Linked DNA regions of Callithrix jacchus. The protein of the gene in region 1 interacts with the protein of each later gene in a biochemical or structural test. Links are inferred from orthologs where the notes say so. Each region holds a gene or a part of one and is shown in the gene's direction. Other genes may lie near its edges.

What was found. The genes of interacting proteins can lie anywhere in the genome.
Region 2: the proteins of SREBF1 (region 1) and MED23 form a complex in vitro, tested with the Homo sapiens proteins (2 studies listed by BioGRID). The link is inferred for Callithrix jacchus from reciprocal best matches to the Homo sapiens genes SREBF1 and MED23.

What each region holds. Positions count from the first base shown.
Region 1 is NC_133506.1:69,308,542-69,320,043, forward strand, and holds the start of SREBF1 (sterol regulatory element-binding protein 1), read left to right. Parts: upstream 1-5,861; 5' UTR 5,862-6,028; coding exon 6,029-6,119; intron 6,120-11,502.
Region 2 is NC_133505.1:138,226,492-138,236,218, reverse strand, and holds the end of MED23 (mediator of RNA polymerase II transcription subunit 23), read left to right. Parts: intron 1-661; coding exon 662-898; intron 899-1,705; coding exon 1,706-1,871; intron 1,872-2,416; coding exon 2,417-2,489; intron 2,490-3,353; coding exon 3,354-3,568; intron 3,569-4,190; coding exon 4,191-4,311; intron 4,312-5,040; coding exon 5,041-5,172; intron 5,173-6,817; coding exon 6,818-6,985; 3' UTR 6,986-7,914; downstream 7,915-9,727. UniProt on the Homo sapiens protein: Required for transcriptional activation subsequent to the assembly of the pre-initiation complex. Component of the Mediator complex, a coactivator involved in the regulated transcription of nearly all RNA polymerase II-dependent genes.

The sequences.
Region 1 (11,502 bases):
TTCCTGGGTCTCACCCCAGGTCCCAGATGGGCAGGAAGGAGTCCACTCAGCCTTGCCCAGGCACCCAGGCCTGAGCCACCCCCGACCCCCTTTAAGACTCAGCCCTCACCCTCAGCTGGGCTCCCACAACTTGGATGGGCATCATCTGCAGAGCCTGTGCTGGGCACTGATTTGAGAACTGCTGCTCCAAGCCAGGTAGACTTCACACTTTAACAGCTCTACTGAGCTATAATTCACATAGCAAACAATTTACCCATTCAAAGTGTACAATTAAGTAGTTTTTAGAATATTCGCAGGGTTCGGCAACCATCGCCACAAACAGAGGACATCTTTATCCCCCACCAAAAGAAATCTGTCTCCTCCCATCCCCGCAGCCTTTAGGAAGAAGCCTTTCTAAAAAGGCTTCTTTCCCTCTCTCCCCTTGTCCTGGAGGTGGGCGCCTGCAGCCCTTTGTTGTAAGGCAGCTGTCCCGGAAGCAGGCCCCCAGGCCCAGAGGCATAGGGAGTCATGAAGGGTGCATTGTGGGAGCCTGTGGGACCTGTGCCTTCTCCAGGTGGCTTGGGAGGCCGAGGGCCCTTTCATCCCTTCGCTGGGGCTTAAGGATGGACCTCAAGTTGGGGTGGACTCACCAAACCCCCAGTGAACCTGGAGATCTGCCCAGCCTCTCACTATGCCAGTGAAGACATGGAGGACCAGAAAGAGCTGTAGGCTTGCCCCAGGCTATACAGGGAGTAGTGGCGGAACCAGCAGCCAACCCAGCCAGAGCTGGACCTCCCAGACAGGGCCATGGATGGGCAGGAAAGACATTAATTCCATTGCCAGCAGATAAAGCTGCCCCACGCACCCTCAGCAGCAGCCCTTCTGGGAGGGTGGCTCAGGAGGGGCTCCGCTACCCACTGATAGGAGGCAGGTGGTCACGGCAGGGGCCATGTTGGGACCACCACCATCACCAGTCGTAACCAGGTACAATCAATAGATGGTCACTGCAATGTGGACAGAGAGGGCCAGAGATGGGAGTGACACAGACAAACTCCTGGGCTCTCCCAGTCTTCCCTCCTCAGCCCTTGGATGGAGAGCTGTTTTCCATCCCCAGAGATCTGGGAGGGGCTGCATGGAGAACTGTGGTTCCTCCATGGCTCAGAGTGCACCTGCCCATGAAAGGAGAAAGAGGGATTCTTTTCCAACCCACCTCTTTTTCAAGAAAAGGGGCTCCTTTGGGTCCTGGTGGGAGAGGGGAGGGCTGAACCTGAGACCCTGGATAGGTTTGCATGACCCACCCAGAAATTCTGCCAGTTTATTTTAGAGGAGTCCCTGTCAGAGCTTTTGGGGCAGAACCCAGAGGAGTCCGTCCAGGGCCTCCAAGCCGAGACTCTCAACATCCAAGAAGGCAAAATCTCTACTCTCAGCACTAGGGAGTGGACTCCATTGTCTGGTGCCACCCCCTGTCCACCCCATGCCTATCTGGGGTGGCAGGCTTAACTGTAGGTGTTGAGTAAGTCACTGTCTCACTCTGGTCTTTACTCCCCTGCTCCATAAACTGGTATAGTGGGTGGTCAACCCAGTGCCCACAGGGGCCTTATTACATTGATTTCCTCACTCTCTCTTCTGTCAGCAGGACTCACCCAGTTCAATATGCCCTTGGCCTCTCCCCAAAGAGCCAGTTACCCCCCAGGGAAGAGGTATTAGTCTTCCTCAGTCTTTGTGAGCTACCTCTCACCGTGCAGCAATCTTTGGGGTTCAAGTAGCTCTTTCGTGGAGGGCGTGTTCAGTGACTCATGGGTGCCCACATGAGTGTGAACCTCCAGGGCAAAGCTGGCCATGGAGGCTCAGAGAGGTCTGGAAAGAACTTGCCCAGCTCACCGCAGAGCTCAAGCGGGAAAGAGACCACGAGGGTCACCTAGGACCAGAATCTTCCACATCCACAGTCATCTCACCCCATTATGTACAGATGGAGAAGGGGAAGGGGAGACTCAGGCTCTGAGCAGTCTCTTCCCTCCTCCTCATGCCTCGGCCATAATCTGGGCAGGGCCCAGCCTGTGGGGCAAAGATTTGTTTCCTTGGTGGCAAAGACATAACCCAGCTTGGCTCCTACAGCAGTGAAGGCTCTGCAGGGCCAGGCAGGTTGGCAGGAGGCTCTGGGAGTGGGAAGAGGTTTCAGTAGCCTAGGCAATAGCGAGAGTGGCCAACCCGGTCTTCCTGCCCAGTGCCTGCCCTACCACCCACCGCTGAGCTCCGGGCACCAAGGGCATGGCTGGACAGGACCAGCGGCCTGGGAAGAGGCCCTGCCTGCGCTGGACGCCTGCCCGAAAAGGCTCGGAAACCACAGAAGCTGCCTCCCAGTCTCTAAGAGGCTTGGAGAGGAAGTGGGGAGATGCGAACCCCTATCTCCCAGTTGGCAAAGCCGAGGTCGGGCAGGGGCCGGGCTGAGTGACTTCGGCGGAATCCTCCGCTCTAGGAGCGCCACGCAGTCCCGAGTGGGGCAGTCCTAGGTTAGTCCGCCCGGTGCCCGCGACGCGCACCTGGCGGCAGTCCAGGCCAGGTGTCTGGCCTGGGGGATGAGCCCAGCCAGTCCCCGCCGCGCCGGCCCCCCCCCGCCCCCCCAGCCTCCCGGGTCGAGCGGGCGCAGCTCATGTGACCCAGGGCCGGGTTCCCGGGAGTTACGCGCTGACGCCGCGTCACCCCACTCCCGGCCGGGCGCCCATTGGCTGCGCCGGGCCCGGGGGGGGCGGAGCTGGTCTGGCTTGGCGCCCCGATTCCCCTGGGTCTCCGGCCGCTGCCCTAGCCCGCGCGCCAACCCGAGCTGGCCCGACTCTCCCGCTGCCTCCAGCCCCGACAAAATCAGGGGCAGCAGTGCTGGGAGATCCTGGGCAAGTCGCTTCACTGCCCCGCTCCATGTGCCTCAATCTGCTCACCTGTAAAATGGGATGGTAACAGCCTCAACCGCCTGAGGCTGTGGGGAGGAGGGAGTGGGTTTAAAGAGCACTGGGCACGCTGTAAACGCTCAGCGATTGTAGACAGTGCAGAACCCGCCGTCTGGGGTCACCGTGGACCAGGCTGGATCCCTGACCCCTGATAGGCACACCCGAAGAGGGCTTGTGTCCACGTTCCTCGGGTGTGCTCAACGTTCCCCAGCCAAGCGCGGCCTGTTTCAAGGTCTCAGGATTTTTGAAGGGAGGAGCCGCCAAGACAAGCCTGTTCCCCTGAAAAATGGACCCCCTCTCCTGGCTTCCCCAACCCTCACCTTGAGAGTTGTCCTGGTAATCCCAGGCTGTGAGGCAAAGATTTGTTTCTTTGGTGGCAAAGATGTAAATTCCTCCCACCCCAACGTGGGACTGTGCCCATGGGGGTTTCAGTTGGATTTTCTGGGCTGCGGGTCTCCTGTTGTCTTTGTCTTCTCTTCTTCTCCTCTCTCCTAACTCCTGCAGTTATGGAGTGCATATTTATTGAGCTATACTATTTACATATGTGGTAACCCATTTAAAAAATGGTGAGGCGGTCGGGGACAATGCTGTAATCCCAGTACTTTGGAAAGCCGTGCAGGCGGATTACTGGAGGCCAGGAGTTTGAAAGCAGCCTGGCCAACGTGATGAAACCCCATCTCTACTAAAAATACAAAAATTAGCTGGTGTGGTGGTGTATGTCTGTAATCCCATATACTCTGGAGGCTGAGGCAAGAGAATTGCTTGAACCCGGGAGGTGGAGGTTGCAGTGAGCTGCAATTGCGCCACTGCACTCCAGCCTGGACAACAGAATGAGACTCTGTCTCAAAAACAGCAACGACACCAAAAAAAGGGATAGTTGGTCGTGGTAGCTCAGGCCTGTAATCCCAGCACTTTGGGAGGCTGAGGTGGGTGGATCACCTGAGGTCAGGAGTTCAAGACCAGCCTGACCAATATGGTGAAACCCCGTCTCTATGAAAAATAAAAAAATTAGCCAGGTATGGTGGTGTGAGCCCGTAATTTCAGCTACTCAGGAGGCTGAGACAGGAGAATCTCTTGAACGTGGGAGGCGAAGGTTACAGTGAGCCAAGATCCTGCTGCTGCACTCCAGCCTGGGTGATAGAGCGAGACTCTCAAAACAAGAAACCAAACCAAACAAAAAACAGTGAGGCAAGTCTGTTGCGATGATGACTCTGAAACACCCTACCTGCCTCTGCAGAGTGACTGAAGGAAGGGTTAGTCCCATTTTACAGATCCAGTAGCTGAGACTCAGAAGAGAGGTAAGTGGTTCCAGGTCACACAGCAAGCAGGTGAAAACCCAGGTCACCTGCCTAGCTCTGAAGAAAGAGTTGAGGCTTGGCTGAGCACTTCCCATCCCACCCCTCTCCCTGGGAAGGGCTGTTTAAATTTTCAGGGAAGTCACCAGCTTCCTGCGTTCCCCCTCCCCAGTATTGGTGGGGGTGGGGCACTGAGATGCCAGCTTCATTCCCTGGGTTCTCCAGCAGTGGTTCATCTGGAGGGAGTGGGTCCTGTGTGGATCCTTGAGTAGGGGTGGCTGAGGAGATGTGGTTTGGCGACCCCCATAACTCTGGCGTTCCTGTTCTGGGTAATTTTCCATCGCAGCCACTTCTGAGAGAGGAACAAAGGGAGCTGCATGTCCAAGCCCAGGGACTTGGCTTTGTGGCTTCTCTCCCCCACACACCCCTTCTAACATGCACAGGAATTTTACTCCTGCTTAGGGTGTGGTCAGACCATATCTGGAGTCTGAGCAAGGCAGTCTGCAGGATGGCTTGACTCATTAAAGCCCAGGGTCCAGAGGGCCTGAGGACCAGGCCCTGGTGAGTTTCCTTGGCTGCCCTCCACCAAGGGTGCTTCTGTCTGCTTGCATACCTCTGGGGACAGGGAGCTCACTGTCTTATCACATTCAGATAACTGAATGTTAATTCTGGTTTATTTCAACCCACCTCATTGGGACCCCTTCCCTCCTTCCCGCTCCACCTGGCTCTGTCCCTAGGCCACAGAACTGGGTTTGGTTTCTCTCTTCTCATCAGGGCTGTCTGCTCTGACCTAGTCCCAGCTGTCATGGTCCAGGGCAGCCTGGCTCTGAGCTAAAGCTCAGCCAACTCTTCCTTGTGGCCCCTGTCTTGGCCACTCCCAGGAACAAGCACCAAATTTGGGATCAGACAGCCCTGGGGCCAGCCGTCCTTGGGTACCCGCTTCCTCTGTCAGGAGCGGCACTGGGCCTGCTGGGGTCCTATCCCTAGGGCTGGATCTGGGACGAAACCAGATGACGACGATAGGAAATTCCAGCCTCTTTCTTCAGTCACTCCTGTCTTCAGGTGGCCAATCTTCTGGTTTCTTTGGAGAGAGGGCAGGCTGATCTCCACATCGTCACTAGCCTCCCAGCCTGCCGGTGAGGAAGCATCATGAGGCCCACGTTACAAATGAGGGAAACTGAAGCTGAGTGATGTAACTGGCCCAGCAGTTACATCAGGTCTGCTCACAACACAGCAAACCTGGGACCCCTGTAACTTGGGTCCTGGTCTGTGTTGTTCTCAAGAGTGAAATCTAGGAAGTGAGGAAGCTTTGGTTTGTGATGGGCCCAGGCCTGGGGCTTCCACTCAGCTCCTTGCTTGGTGCTGGAGAAACCGAGGCCCAGAGAGAGGACTTGGTTTACCCGCGTTCCCGCAGCAGCCGGCCAGAGGCCGCTCTGCCACGGTGCGCGAGGCTGGACAAAATGAATGACTGGAGGGCGCTCTGGAGGAGGGGCCCGCTGAGGGCAGATTTGTGGCGCAGACTGGGGATCAGGGGTACCCGCTCTCTCAAGGTGGGGCGGGGCCGTCTATCTGGGAGGGCGGGGCCTCCCCCGAAAGGCCCCGCCTCCTCCTTCACCGCCCAGCGGAGCCGCTGCCGCGGGAACCCAGTTTCCGAGGAACTTTTCGCGGGCGCCGGACCTCCTGCGAGGCCAGGGCAGGACACGAACGCGTGGAGCGGCGGCGGAAGCTGCGAGCCGGGACCGGCGGCAGTCCCTCAGAAGGGCCGTGCGCGGCGGCGGGCCCGGCGGGCCTCCCGGAGGAGGCGGCTGCGCCATGGACGAGCTGCCCTTCAGCGAGGCGGTTTTGGAGCAGGCGTTGAGCGAGCCGTGCGATCTGGACGCGGCGCTGCTGACCGACATCGAAGGTGCGTCAGGGTGGGCAGGGCTTGAAGCCGCGCCGGGTGGCGCGAGTGGGGGGCGCGCAGGTGGCTCCCTGGCCTTTGTCTCCCCCCTCCCCGGGCGCCAGCTTCGTGCTGAGCTGCGCGCCGTGGACCTCGGTGTCCCGGGCCTCGCCGAGCCTTCCTGGCTCCCGCCCTGGCGTTTCGAGCCGCGCGCTCGGCGAGGACTCCCGGGCCGGGCCGGTGTCCCTTGGCGGCTCCGGGCCGGGACACGTGCGCCTCTACGCGTCCCAGGCCGGGTACCGCCCGACCGGTGGGTGAGTCTCCAGCCCTGTGGCGGCCGCGGCTGGAGCTGGGGACCCGGGCGTCGTCGAAGCCCCGCCCCAGCCCCAGCCGTGACGTCAATGAGAGGTTACTCACGGTCATTCCCTCCGGCCCGAGAGTTCAGCTGGGCGTCGGAGCTCGTGCGCAAGCGCACGGGCGCTGCTCGCCCACTTGCCCGGCCACGGGTCGGGTTTCCCCGGTCTTCTACCGGCATCGCCTCCGCACTCATTCACTAACCGAATGCCAGGCCCCGTCTTAAGCACCGAGGGATCACAGACAGTCCTGGGCACCCGCTCTTTTCGGGAACACCATCCCCCGGGAAACCAGCAAATAGATATTTAGTTGCACGTTGGGTGGAGCGGGGCGAGGGGAGGGCAGGTAGGTGGCTACTTTGGGTAGAGCGTCAGGGACTTCTGAGCTGAGACCTGAGGGCCACCCCCAGGACTAGCAGGGAAAGATGTTTTCCAGGCCAGGGCGAGGGAAGGGCGAAGGCCCCGAGGCAGGGCCTAAGTGTGAGGAGTTAAAGGCTCGTAAAGGTTGCGGAGGGAGAGGACGCCAGCAGCCTTACTCGGCCAGGGAAGGGGCGGAGCAGGACCGCGGCACCTGCTTCCATCTTTGGAGCACCACACTGGCTGTCAGGGGACGGGGTTTGGGGCCAACGGTGGCACTAAGTGCCAGTTAGGAGGCCCGTTGCTTCCATTTTGCAGACAGCAAAGGAAAGTCCCAGCAAATTTCCTCCATGGTTTCCGTGCAGGAGCTTTAGCAACATGGGCTAAGTTGCACTTGGTTGATGAGGAAACTGAGGACGAGGTTGCAGGAAGAAGATGCCTAGACTCACAACCTGAATGGACATGTCCGTGGAACCTGTGGCCACCCTGGGGCTGGCAAAACAGATGTATCTATGCCACCCCCACTCCTGCCCTACTGCAGCCTTGCAGATGAGCTCAGCTGGCTGCCAGCTCCAGGAGCTTCCCAGCCCTTCCTCCTTCCCTCTGGGGCTTGGCTAGGGGAGGACCCAAGAGGAGAGGCCCTGATTTTGAGGCTTTTCCAAAACAGCCTCCCCTACACCTGGCAGGAGGGGTTGTCCTTCACTGCATCCTGGAAAGGTGGACCCTGAAATCCCAAGCCCTAGGGAGATCTAGGCCTGACTTAACTAGTTCCATAGCACAGGGCCCAGTGAGGGTAGTCCAAGAGGCAGCAGGACCAAGCCAGCCGGACATGGGCTTTGGGGTCAGAACTTGAACCTGGATGCTCCTCACTTCCTCTGCCATCCTGCTCAAGCCCTCTCACTCTCTGAACCTTAGTTTCCACCTCCAGAAGAATGAGGATACAAACCCTCCCTTCATGGGCAGCTGGACAGCAGAATCCGGTCTGGGCCACAGGTCTGATACAGACCTTTCTTACTGACTCATGGATAAAAACACTGTCTCTCCAGATCCAAAGGCCAGGCATGGGCAGCCATGTGGCCCAAGTTCTAGTCTGTGAGAGAGCCCCAGTGCCTTGAAGATTCGGCAGCCCCTTCTCACTAGGCAGGCCCAGCTTTACCCAGTTCAGTAGAGGATTTTTCAGTTTTTATTCAAACTTCCTGTTCTTTCCAATTAAACATATTTTTTTTTTATTATTTGTTTTGTTTTGTTTTTTGAGTCGGAGTTTCACTCTTGTTACCCAGGCTGGAGTGCAATGACGCGATCTTGGCTCACTGCAACCTCCGCCTCCTGGGTTCAGGCAATTTTCCTGCCTCAGCCTCCCAAGTAGCTGATATTACAGGCATGTGCCACCATGCCCAGCTAATTTTTTGTATTTTTAGTAGAGCTGGGATTTCACCATGTTGACCAGGATGGTCTCGATCTCTTAACCTCGTGATCCACCCACCTCGGTCTCCCAAAGTGCTGGAATTACAGGTGTGAGCCACCGTGCCCAGCCCCAATTACACATCTTTTTTCATTGTAGAACAATTAGCAAGTGCAAGTGAGCAAAAAGAAGAAACTAAAACCTTTAGACCAGGTGTGGTGGCTCACGCCTATAATCCCAGCACTTTAGGAGGTTGAAGCAGGAGGACTACTTTTATCCAGAAATTTGAGACCAGCCTCGGCCACATGACAAGATCCTGTCTCTACAAAAATAAAAAAATTAGCTGGGTGTGGGTAACACATGTTTGTAGTCTCAGCCATGCTGGAGGCTGAAGTGGGAGGACTGCTTGAAGCTGGAGCTGCAGTGAGCTGTAACTGCGCCACTGCACGCAGCCTGGGTGACAGTGAGATTCTGTCTCAAATAAAACTTTAAAGCTATCACCCAGAGATAAGCCCTGCTAATTATGTGAAAGAGCTTTTCTTCTCTGTCTCTCTCTCTCTCTTTTTGGTTTGGGATGGCTACACACTCTTCATAAACCTTTTTTTTTTTTTGAGACAGGGTCTCACTCTTTTGCCCAGGCTAGAGTGCAGTGGCATGATCTCACCTCACTGCAGCCTCCGCCACCCAGGTTCAAGAGATTCTCCAGCTGCCAGGTAGCTGGGATTACAGTTGTGCACCACTGTGCCTGGTTAATTTTTGTATTTTTAGTAGAGACGGGGTTTCACCGTGTTGGCCAGGCTGGTCTCAAAGTCCTGAGCTCAGGTGATCTGCCCGCCTCAGCCTCTGAAAGTGCTGGGATTACAGGTGTGAGCCACCACACCAGCCTTCATCAGCTTTTTAAAAACAACTTGATTGAGGTATACTTTACATACCACAATATCTATCCATATTAAGTGTGTCATTCAGTGATTTGTAGTTTTCTGCGTTGTGTGACCATTACTAGCTGTAGAACATTTTTATCGCCCAGTAAATTCCCTCCTGCTCCTTTAGTCACCTCCTGCTCTTGCTCCTGGCCCAGGCAGCTATGGATCTGTACTTTTATAAATTAAAATAGGGGGCGGGCGCGGTGGCTCACGCCTGTAATCCCAGCACTTTGGGAGGCCGAGACGGGTGGATCACGAGGTCAACAGATCTAAACCATCCTGGTCAACATGGTGAAACCCCGTCTCTACTAAAAATACAAAAAATTAGCTGGGCATGGTGGCGCGTGCCTGTAGTCCCAGCTACTCAGGAGGCTGAGGCAGGAGAATTGCCTGAACCCAGGAGGCGGAGGTTGCGGTGAGCCGAGATCGTGCCATTGCACTCCAGCCTGGGTAACGAGAGCGAAACTCTGTCTCAAAAAAAAAAAAAATTAAAATAGGGTCCATAGTTTCACAGAAGATTGGAACCTGCTTGGTTCCATGTCAACAGCTAGATGACAATCAGGCTCCCTCAATTCCCCACCTGATCCCCTGTCGATGGACACCTGGGTTGTTTTATCTTCATAAACTGTGCTATAGTGGACACCGAGGCCAGTCTCTGCCCAGTCCTCATTGTGTTTCTAGGATGAGATTCTGGGAGGGGATTGCTGGACAGAGATTGAGCCTGCTTTCGAAGCTTCTTCTACTAGGCATAGAGCTGAGCAGGTTTGATAAGGTCTGAAGAGAGGTGATTTGGGGGTGGAAATGCCAGGTCTCTTGAGAGACATGAGGGATAAGAGGAGGCCAGGCCAGCCTTGATTGTCAGAGTACAGAGCTGGGCTAGATGTGGGGGTCAGTCAGCAGTCGGAGCAGGGGCGCGCTGTGCTTCAGCTCCCTCTGGCTGCCTGGGTGGAGGATCGTAATGTGAACAGAAAACACTAATTGAGTCCTTACTGTGCTCCAGACACTACTGATGATCTTATTTAATCCCCCGACAACCCCAAGTGGGTAGACATATGATGAAGATGACAGCCTTGAGCACCAGAGAGGTTAAGTGACTTGCCTGAGGTCACACAGCCAGATAATGGCAGAGCCAGGATTCAAACCCAGGCCATGGGCTCCGGAACCTAGCTCTTAAGCTCTTAATCACTGAGCTCCTAAGAATGGGGATGAGGGGTTGAGGGAGGCTGCTCCATGTGGGGCTATGTGGGGACCTGGGAGTGTGGGTCATAGAGGGGTCAGAGGTTATGTGGCCACCTCCCCATCCCAGTCCACAGTAGCGTTTGAGTCATCAGACTGGGAACTGGCCCAGGGGAGCCAGCCAAGGGTTTTGAGCCCCATTCTGTCCTGCTGCCTGCCATGGCCAAACGCTTGTCACGTGGATGGATTTGGGAGTGGAGAGCCCTTGCGTCTGTGGGTGAAGGCACTGTCCTGGCTATAGTGCCCCTGGGTTTGAGTCCTGCCTCTGCACCAAGACCTCAGGCTCACCTGTCTCCTCCTGGGCCTCACAGTACCTTGCGGCAGTGGGGAGTGATGGATCGGGAGAGCAGTCCTGTGCCTGCATTGGGGATTATTATTAAGCCTGTGGCAGTCTTCACCTCCCTGCTGAGGATTCATTCATCCGATTTTGCACAAGCTTCTAAGTGCAGAAGAGGCAGATGGAAACAGAGCTCTGGCTGAGGGCCTAGAAGGGGGCCTCAGGGTCTCTTTCCTCTACCTGGACCCCGTCATGTCTGCTCTTTGTCAGACCCCAGATTTCTGCCAACCCCCATCAGACGCTGCTTCCTGGGAAGCTCTTCTGGGCGTCACCTTGACCTAAGCAGTGCATCCTCAGAGTTCTCCAGCCCTGATGTCCCTCCCAGCATGCCCAGCCCAGCCACCACAGAGCCTGGCTTCCAGTCATGTGTCTGGCTGTTTCCTGGGTCCAGGCCAGCCCTGGTAGGACACAGTGGGGGCCCGCTCTGCCACCCCATACCTGTCCCCAGAAATCTCATGTCCCAGTTCCCTTCCCAGTCCTACCAAGCACCTGGATGCCTTGGAAAACATAGCTCTAACTGTTCACTGTCCAGGTCCCAGCATGGAACTCCCCTGCTCTCCAACCATGCATAGCTCCCCAGTGCTCCAAGATAAAGTTCCCTTCTCTCCGAGGGGCATTCAAGACTTGCAAAGGTTGCCAAACATGCCCCTCCTGTGATATTGGCCATTTATCCAGAATCCCTGGCCTCAGGCACAGCCTGCTCTGCTATGGTGCCCCTTCTCCCTCATCCCGGTGTTGAGAGCCCTCTCGGGGGTGGAGCCTGAGGGGGTCTCTCCTATCAGACATGTTCCCCTTCCCA
Region 2 (9,727 bases), on another chromosome or scaffold:
GTGAGCATTCTTTTAAAAATGTTTTTCTTTTGGATTAGGTAATATATGCACTTGGTAGGAAGAGTATATAGTGAAAAGTAGTTCCATCCTGTTTCCAGCTAGCCAGTTTCTTTCTCGGTAGGCAGTCAATGTTACCGATCTCTTGCCATCCCTTCTTAGAGATCCTGGGTGTTTTTCTTTTGTTTTGTTTTGTTTTGTTTTGTTTTTAACACAAATAAAATGTAATACACACATTGTTCTGTGCCCTGTTTGTTTCAACTTTATCATATATTAGGGTTGGCCATTTGTATCAATACATGCCATAATTTATTTTATTAGTTCCCTGTTTTTGACTTTTTAGGCTGTTTTTCATTTATGGTAGCGTAAAGAACATCCCTTGTTGTATGTCAAGGGATGAAAATTTATGCAGAATACATTTTCAGAAATGGAGTTGCTTCCACTTAAATAAAAACAAATGCAAATACAAACTGCATATTACTAGAAGCATTCTGAGCCTTCTGCCTCTACTCAGGTTAAAATATCCATAGTATACAATTGTCCAGCTGTGAAATTGTTTCATAATCTTCTGAGCTGTTTTTCAGTTATCTTGAAAGCAGTGGATTAGTTTTTCACAGTTATCAGTAACCAGTTAAACGTGTGGTGATATTTTTTTTCTTGGCAGATCGTCCAGTGACTTACCTGTATAATACTCTGCACTATTATGAAATGCACCTGAGAGACCGCGCATTTCTCAAACGAAAACTCGTCCATGCTATCATCGGCTCTCTCAAGGATAATAGACCACAGGGCTGGTGTCTAAGTGACACTTACCTGAAGTGTGCTATGAATGCACGAGAGGAAAATCCATGGGTTCCAGATGACACCTACTATTGCAGATTGATTGGCAGACTAGTCGATAATATCCTTTCTACTCTGATTTTACAGACTCTCCAGAAATAACAGTATTTTGATTTATGAGAACGTATTTTTCTTTTTAAGGTAATTTTTTATATATTCCAAGGTTTTACTTTTTTTTTTAAGATCACTTCCCTTTTTATCTCTCTAAAGGTTTGAAATCTTAAATTAGCAGCATCATGCCAGATAGGCTGAAATTCTTTTAAAATTTATATTTTAGAACTTGAGGATAAGTGGTTAAAAATTATATTTAAAAATAGACTTTATGGAGATTTGTTTCAAAGAAAAAAATTTATTCTTAAATGAACTCTATTTTGTAGCACATGCATCTGTGTGCTACTGGAGAATGTAGCATCTTGTTACTTTAAAAAAGTATGTTTTTATTAAATAATAAACGATAAAACATTTTTCTTTTTTTAGTGAAAAGGGATATTTTAGTGAAAATATACTTGTATGTTTCTTCATTTTGATTTTATGTTTTCATTTATTAGCATCTATACTTCATACCACCATTTTACTATGTAGAGAAATTCTACGTAAATGAGTGTGACTTGTTTTCCTACATAAAGGAATTTATTTTCTGAAGCAAAAGAAGAGCTCATTATAAAATAATGTTCATATTAATGTCTTATAACTTTTAGAAGAAATAGGCTCATGAAGTCTAGGTATACCTTGATTGCATCTGTGGCTATTATACATCACATTTATAAGAACCCACCTGTAAGACCAACCATTTATACTTGTGGTTAATTAAATGATTGCTCTTAATACATTTCAATCATGTCAGTGTTATTGCTTTAACTGTGTGCACCAATGGCTGGCAAATCTCCTGGTCCCTTTCCAAACTGTGACTGGAGATTCAATGAGTTTCCCAACCCAGCTGCCCACGCTCTCCATGTTACATGTGTGGAGCTCATGGCCTTGGCAGTTTCAGGCAAAGAGGTCGGGAATGCCCTTCTAAATGTTGTCCTGAAAAGGTATGTATTCTGGTTCATGCAGTAAGATTTGTTGTTTATTTGTAAACAGAATGGTGTTTTATTTGGACCTTTAAGACAGACCTGTTGCCACAAGGCTGTTGAACATTGGATGATGACTGTTTTCTGGTTCCAGATCTTGTCTTTGTGATATAGGAGTTATGGAATGAGCCCTGGATAGGATCATTAAGATCTGGGTTTGTTCCTACTTCTACTCATTAATAGCAGTTTGACATTTAGTTTAGGATTAATGTTAACTTGTCACTTAAAACAAGATTCTCTTAATCTTGTTTTCAAGATTTCAAGAATCTCTTAAAAACTAGCACAAAATATTGGATAATGATTGGGGAAGAAGTATTTTTAAAGAGCCTTATTGAGTTTCTATGTATATTACATTTTTATTCAATAAAAAATTCCCCATTGTTTTATTGAAATTGATTAGTTTTCAATCCTCTGAATTATACATATTCTTTAAAACTAAGATCCATTGTCAACCATCTAAAATGTTTTTATAATTTCATACTTGTGTTCTTTTTTGCTGGTTGCAGTCAGCCTTTAGTGCCAAGAGAGAACATTACAGCATGGATGAATGCAATTGGTTTGATCATCACTGCCTTACCAGTGAGTTAATAATTGTGATTTGTACTTACTGATGAAATACAGCCCCTTGTTCCATGTCAGCAAAAAGAAAAAGATGCATATAGGATGCCCTGGTACAAGGACGTCAAACAAATTAATGAAGTATTTTATGTTTTTAAAGTTTTTCATATTATTACTGCTTTAAAAATTTACAGTGACTAGTTTTTGCCTTTCTGTATTAGATCTAAATACCTCTGCATAACTTACATGTCTCTGCATTTTCTGGTACCACCTTACCTATCCAACTTTAGTTTTTACATTATAACCTGATCTACTCTTGGCCACTTAATATGTTGTGTATCTACAGCCTTTGTTCTTGCAGATGGTACTTATTAAGACATGTTTTAGGTACTTCCGAATGTGAGTGAATAAGACATTATTTTTATTCCAGAACCTTCTTCTTTCCATCACCTTCTCTAAAGCCTATTTATTCTTTGCTAGCTTAGAGCCTCCTTTCTTAGTGAATGAAGCCTTACCTGACTTTTCCAGCCCACATGAAGACTCCCTTCTCTGACCTCCACACATATCTAAAAAAAAGTTTATTATTATAAAATAAGCAATAAAACTATTGATTTATTGTTTGGTAAGTTAATTGATTTACTGCATAGTATATATCAGGTACCTAAATGAGCTGGACAGATAAATGTATGGAGCCCCCTAACTCACAGGCACTTCTCCCAGGTTGTTACTGACTTAATTTGCCCAGTTACAAAGTCATCCAACAGATTTCCAGCAGAAGCTGGAAAAGTAGAAAACTTTAAAGACTGAGAAAACACTATTATTTTAGTCTTTGTGATAGAATGCTAGATAAGTGATTTTTTCACTAGCTTTCCTCCAATTTTAAAGGAGCCATACTGGATTGTTCTTCATGATCGAATTGTGAGTGTTATCAGCAGCCCCAGCTTGACATCTGAAACAGAGTGGGTTGGCTATCCATTCCGCCTCTTTGATTTCACTGCCTGTCATCAGTCCTACTCTGAGATGAGCTGTAGCTATACATTAGCTCTCGCACATGCTGTGTGGCACCATTCTAGCATTGGACAACTTTCTCTCATTCCAAAGTAAGTGTAATAATTTCTTAAAGAAATTTGACATATTTCATTTTTTTCAATCTCATTAACAGATGAGGTATATACCTCATTCATTAGAACAATTTGCAAAGTAAGTTCATCAGAAAGCTCCTTTTGCTTCAGAATTGTTTTCTGAAAAATTGACTTGTATATGCTAGTAATAATCTAGTAATGTAGTTTTTCCACTGTAGTTTGAAGAGGCTTAGTCAAATGCATACCTTTTCCAGAATGTATCCCGAAAGTTACCTTTTAAACTGAATAACTGCTATTATCCTATTTCCTGATTATTTTTCTTGACCATAAAAGTGGTATTAATTGATTGAAATTTCTATATCGTGGCATTTATTAGATTATTCTCTTTTTATTTCAGATAAATCAGTAGTTTTACTGTAAAGAATGATTTAAATCCGGTATTTCAATAAATAATCAAATGAAAGTAATAGCCAGTAAGAGATGTGAGATTAATTAGAAATATTATTGTTACAGAATTAAAAGAAACTTTTAAAATTAAAAGTTTTGTTGTAATACTTTATAAATACTATATTAACAAAATTCAAACAATTTAAATAATTTCAAGTTACAGGAGATTTTTATTTTTATCTTCAAATTTTAGGTTTCTCACGGAAGTACTTCTTCCTATAGTGAAGACTGAATTCCAGTTGCTTTATGTTTACCATCTTGTAGGACCATTTTTACAAAGATTTCAGCAAGAGAGAACTCGTTGTATGATAGAGGTAAAATATAGTCTGGGTTTTCTGTGACATGATTAAATTCTGAATTATCTATTTAGGTTTCTTTGCATTATTGGAACCTCAGGTCACAACCATTAGAAGTGAAACTAGTTTAACAAGATCCAAGAGCGATTGTAGAGGACTTAGTATGCCAGTAATTATGTGGGGTGGGATGTATTGAATTGGATATGCAGGGGAAATACCCATCATGAAGGCTGAGAAGAGGTTAAGGATGGAGAAGTACATTTGAGATCTTACAGTGCAGAGGAACTAATGAAAATCATGAGAATGGATGATATCAGTCACTTATAACAAGATGTCAAAAACAAGGAAAGGAGCCAGGAATAGAACCTTAAGGCAAGAGCTACCAAATGGAACAAAGAAAGTATAATCCAAAGGATCCCTAGAAGTAGAGTTTACCCAGACATCGAGATATGGTGTCTAGAAAGGAATTGTTTATCTCTTAATTTCAAGAGAAATTACTAAACTATGAAGAGATATTTTATTTAAGCCTTATTAGGGGCATTTTATAGCACTACAGATTGTTTTATAAATGCAGGTCACATTGTATCTCCCAAGTGCATAGAGGTGTATATATGGCATGTGACAGTTCTACAGCAAACACAGTATCTGCCGGTGCTAGTGCTATAATGGTGCCCATCTGCATCATGCTGAATTATTGAATCACTTCACTTTCGACCACTTAAATAATTTTACATTATTTGTAAACAGATTGGTGTGGCGTTTTATGACATGCTGCTGAATGTCGACCAGTGTAGCACCCATTTAAATTACATGGATCCCATCTGTGACTTCCTGTATCACATGAAGTATATGTTTACTGGTGATAGTGTGAAAGAGCAAGTAAGCTGAATTTCTTTAATTCTTTTTAATGATGCTGGATTTGGAAAATTTGAACATATAGTGATAGACTTTTTTGATTTGGGTGATTATTTTTGTCTTTTTTTTTTTTTTTTAAGGAAAAAGGGTGGGTATGAGACCTTTTTAGGCAACAGGGGCGTATTATTCTAGATGACATACTAAAGTAAATACAAGTTATAATTTCTCATCCTTTTCTCTCTTGATATTTGCAACAGAACATCTAAAAAAAAAAGATGTAGAGGGTTAGTTAATGGTAATCTCATTGGGGAGAAACAGTGGGATATGGCTGCTGAAGTATGAGCAGAGAGGTTGCTGTGTTCTGAGTAAAGGAGGTCCTACTTCTCCTGACACTTACGGTGACAAACTGCGGCTTAACTAGAAGACTAAACTCAGGATTCCAGACTAAACCTGACTAGAGACTAACTCATGAAGAGTATTTAAAGCATATGGGAATGCTGACCCTGAAAAAAAAAGTCTTAGGGAATTATTGATGACCTCAGTCTTTGGAAAGGTTTCCGTTTGGAAAGAGAGGCCATGCTGACATAGCATATGAAGAGGAACTTCCTAATAGAGATGCCTGAAAGTAGAAAAAGACCTTGAATCATAACTGAGTTCCTATGTGTAGGAAACAGAATCTGGGCTATTTTAAAGGGGTGGAGGTAGGACAGACAGGGAAAGTTAAGTCCATCCTCTTCCACTTCCCAATACTTTAATGTTATTTCCTTCTATAATGGAGAGGAAGATAAACTGCTGTGTAGCCATATGAGTCTAGTCTAAGGCTTCTTTCTTTGGAGCTGGAGTTGGGAGGATGTTGACTCCTTATGTCTCAGCAGCAGTGTCAAAGAGAGTTAACCTGTTCTCCCTCATGTAAGAAAGAAATTGTATCTGCTTTTGTTACAACACAGAACATTCAGAAAACCTGTGAAGAAACGTTTTTGTTTTTTTTGTTTGTTTGTTTTTAGTTCTTAGAGTATTCTTTACATTTGAGCCTAAGTTTGACTCAAGGGAGTACAGAAAGGAAAAGGTCAAACAGCCTTTGAGTAAAGCTAAGAAAGCTGTGGAACTACTTGATGTATTTGTCTCTTTAGTGTTTTTCAAAAGAGTAGATCTAATATTATTTATTTTGAATTCCAAGTATAAATCAAACCTAAAATAATTAGCTTTGTAGATGAATGTTGCAGACATGAGTTATTCAAAGAACTTTAAAATATAATTAATGCTTCATGCTTCTGTAAAGATAGCATTTTAAAAAATGATCAACTCGTTGGATGTATAAAATTTCCAGTATAAACTCTGCTAGCTTTTGGTAGCAGGATGACTGGCTAGCTAGATAAATGGATATGCTTTTGTAAGTATATGCATATATTTGACTATACATGTGGTACATGTACAGACATGCATATGTAACATATAATGGGTGTGTGTGAGGGAGAACATGTTGTTTCTCATGCAAGAAAGATATAATTGTATCTGCTTTTCTTAAAACACAGAACATGTTGAGAAACTTCTCATCTACCCCACGCCGCTCCTTAGTTTATTGTCTCAGGATATATGTAAGTCTTGCTTTAAATGTGAGAAGTTGAAATTCTCTGATTAAAGTACTTTTTAATGTGTTTTTATTTCTTAGGTGGAGAAGATTATCTGTAACTTAAAACCAGCTTTGAAACTTCGTCTTCGATTCATCACACACATTAGCAAGATGGAGCCAGTTGCAGTGCCTCCACAAGCCATCAACAGTGGGTCTCCAGCACCTCAGTCTAATCAGGTGCCAGTGTCTCTACCAGTAACTCAGTGAAGCCAGACTCTACTATGGAGAAAGTGGAAATGCATCCATCTTTGAGAGTGGACTCAAACCTATTAAATCTGAATGCTGTCATGCTATAGTGATAATAGTAGAAGCAGTGATGATGTTCAGATTGTTTTATTTTGATTCAGATGATGAATCTGTTGACACCTTATAACACCCATCTCCCTAACTATATTTTTGTCTCTAAGAGATCAAGATTCATGTTGTTCATATTCATAACAACTTATTAGAGCTACGTAGGAACATAGAGGTATCTGTGATCAAGTGACTTTGTCATTGGCACTTTCAGTCTTTTCTAGCTGTTGCTTTTGTTTGTATTTTTTTATTAATAACGTATTTAGTGTTCAGATATATTATTTTAAAGGCACCACACATGTAAAACAGTTATTACAAATCCTTTTATACGTAAATCTCTTTTGGTAGATCTTTAGAATAATAGAGATTTTTATCAAGAAAAAAAATCTGCACTTTGTTGCATTGTAGGAACAAACAAGGCTTCATATTCTTTTTTAAATGACTTGAAATTTTATTATAAATTTCCATTGTTTCTATCAAGGTCAGTTGGCAGTTTTATTACCTTTGCTATGGACTCAAACTTACTGTATAAAATGAGCTGAAAGCCATGTAAAAAAATAACATCTGAAAATTCTTAAACTTAAATAAAACTATGCTTAAATGGTTGATTCTCCAATTTCTTTTTTTAAAAATAAGTTAATTGCTTTTGCAGGTTGACGCTCTCACCTGACAGATGATATAATTCTTCAAATTCTTATAATCTTAAAATTTTTAAATTTTTATAAAGTACACATTTTATTTCTTCAGAATATCTTAGATTTTGAGAGACATTGTTAATTTGGGGGCAATTGGCATTGTGAGAGACTTGAAAACTAATGAGTAAAATCTGCTGAATGAATAAACCGCGTGACTGTTTCATGACTCCATTGGAATGAGTGTCTGCTGTATGCCAGGTGGTGTGTTGGCTAGGTTCAGTTGGAAATGGGGTACTCTATGGGTCATACACTACAGGTGGTGACTGATGTTGGCCTACGAATTAAGAGTTACAGATTCTTTTAAAAAGAGCTAGTGAATTTAACCAACTGTACTTCAAATTCATGTTTCTAAATACATTCCCCCTAGAACTTTATTTTCTTTGTAGCTCATGTTATTGCCATCACTAAATCATTACTGGCCATGCAAGTCTAGCTAAAAATATATGTAATGGTAAAAATAATTTTTGCAGACTCAATTCTTAAAATTACCTAGAAAAAAATGCTAGAAATTATTTCAAGTTATTAATCTTAACATGGTGTCAATATATTCGTGCTGCCTTGAGGAATATATTACTTTTTGATCCTAGAATGAGAATAAAATTGTGACACTAGTGTTGTACAAACAGAATAGAGGAAGTGAAAATCAATATAATCACTTTCTCAAGGATATAAACATTCTAATTTATTAAAAATTTAGTTTTCCCTCTCTAGTTTAAAAACATGGGATAGATTTTTAAATAGGTTTTTAAGCAGAGACTAAGGGAAGACAAACTTTATTTGGGTCTACAATACTGCTGATGGGAAAAATATGCCTTTATATTTATCACATCCTGAAAGTTTTTCTTTTTGAAAATAGTTTAGAGTGGCCCTGTCTGCAATGATGCAATGTTCTGCATTGATGCAGATGACTTTCTGCAATGATGCAAATGTTCTATACCTGTGCTATTCAATACACTAGTTAGTAGCTGCATTTATCTGTGAAGTATTTGAAATATGGATCTGAATTTTTAAATTTTACTAAGTTTTAATTTGACCATATGTGGCTGCTGTATTAGATAATATATCCTAGAGTGAGGTCCTTTATAATTGTTCCCATCTAGAAGTAATTCAATAAAATGTTTATCTTTTAAAGGCCCAGTAGTTAAAGGTAACAGTTTTTAAATTCTGTGTTACATTTGAAAAATCAGATTGTAGGGGCTGTTTTATCATATAGCTGTTAAAAACACAGAAGAAATTCATTCATGAAGCCTACCTTATTTACAGAACCGCCTGGGGTTTTTACAAAAATTACTGGGAAGAGAAAAACTTTGCTTCCCTTGTTTTGATTGCAATTTACCATGGTTTGTTTTTTCCATTTTCCTTACTACATTCCAGAGCCAAGATGAGTTTTTAGGATATAGCTGATGGTACTGTAATTGCAGGGTGAGTGAAGGGTGAAACATTGGAAGCCACAGGTAATTTTAGATGACATCCTCAGCTGAATCAGTCATTCTTAAAAACAAACTAGCAATATGATTTATCTGGCTCCTGAATAGATTTTTGGAAGCATCTTTTTTTTTGTTTCCCAAAGTCTCACTCTTGCCCAGGCTGGAGTGCAGTGGCGTCATCTCATCTTACTGCAACTTCTGTCTCCTGGGCTTAAGTAGTACTCCCACCTTAGCCTGCTGAGTAGCTGGGACTATAGGTGCTCACCACCACGCCCAGCTAGTGTGTGTGTGTGTGTGTGTGTGTGTGTGTGTGTTGCATGTATTCAGAAATACATAGACTGTGCAATCTTGTTATAAAGAGTTTATTATAAAAAAAAATCACATCTTTTGAATGACATGGACACATAGTACCTTTCCAGATGGGGTAGCTTTGTCTCCTGATTCCAGGAGTCCCACTCAGTGTATGGGGGCTTTTGTTAAGTGCGCTTATTTTTAATACCAGCAATTTTTAAATTGTAAATCAATGCATACTT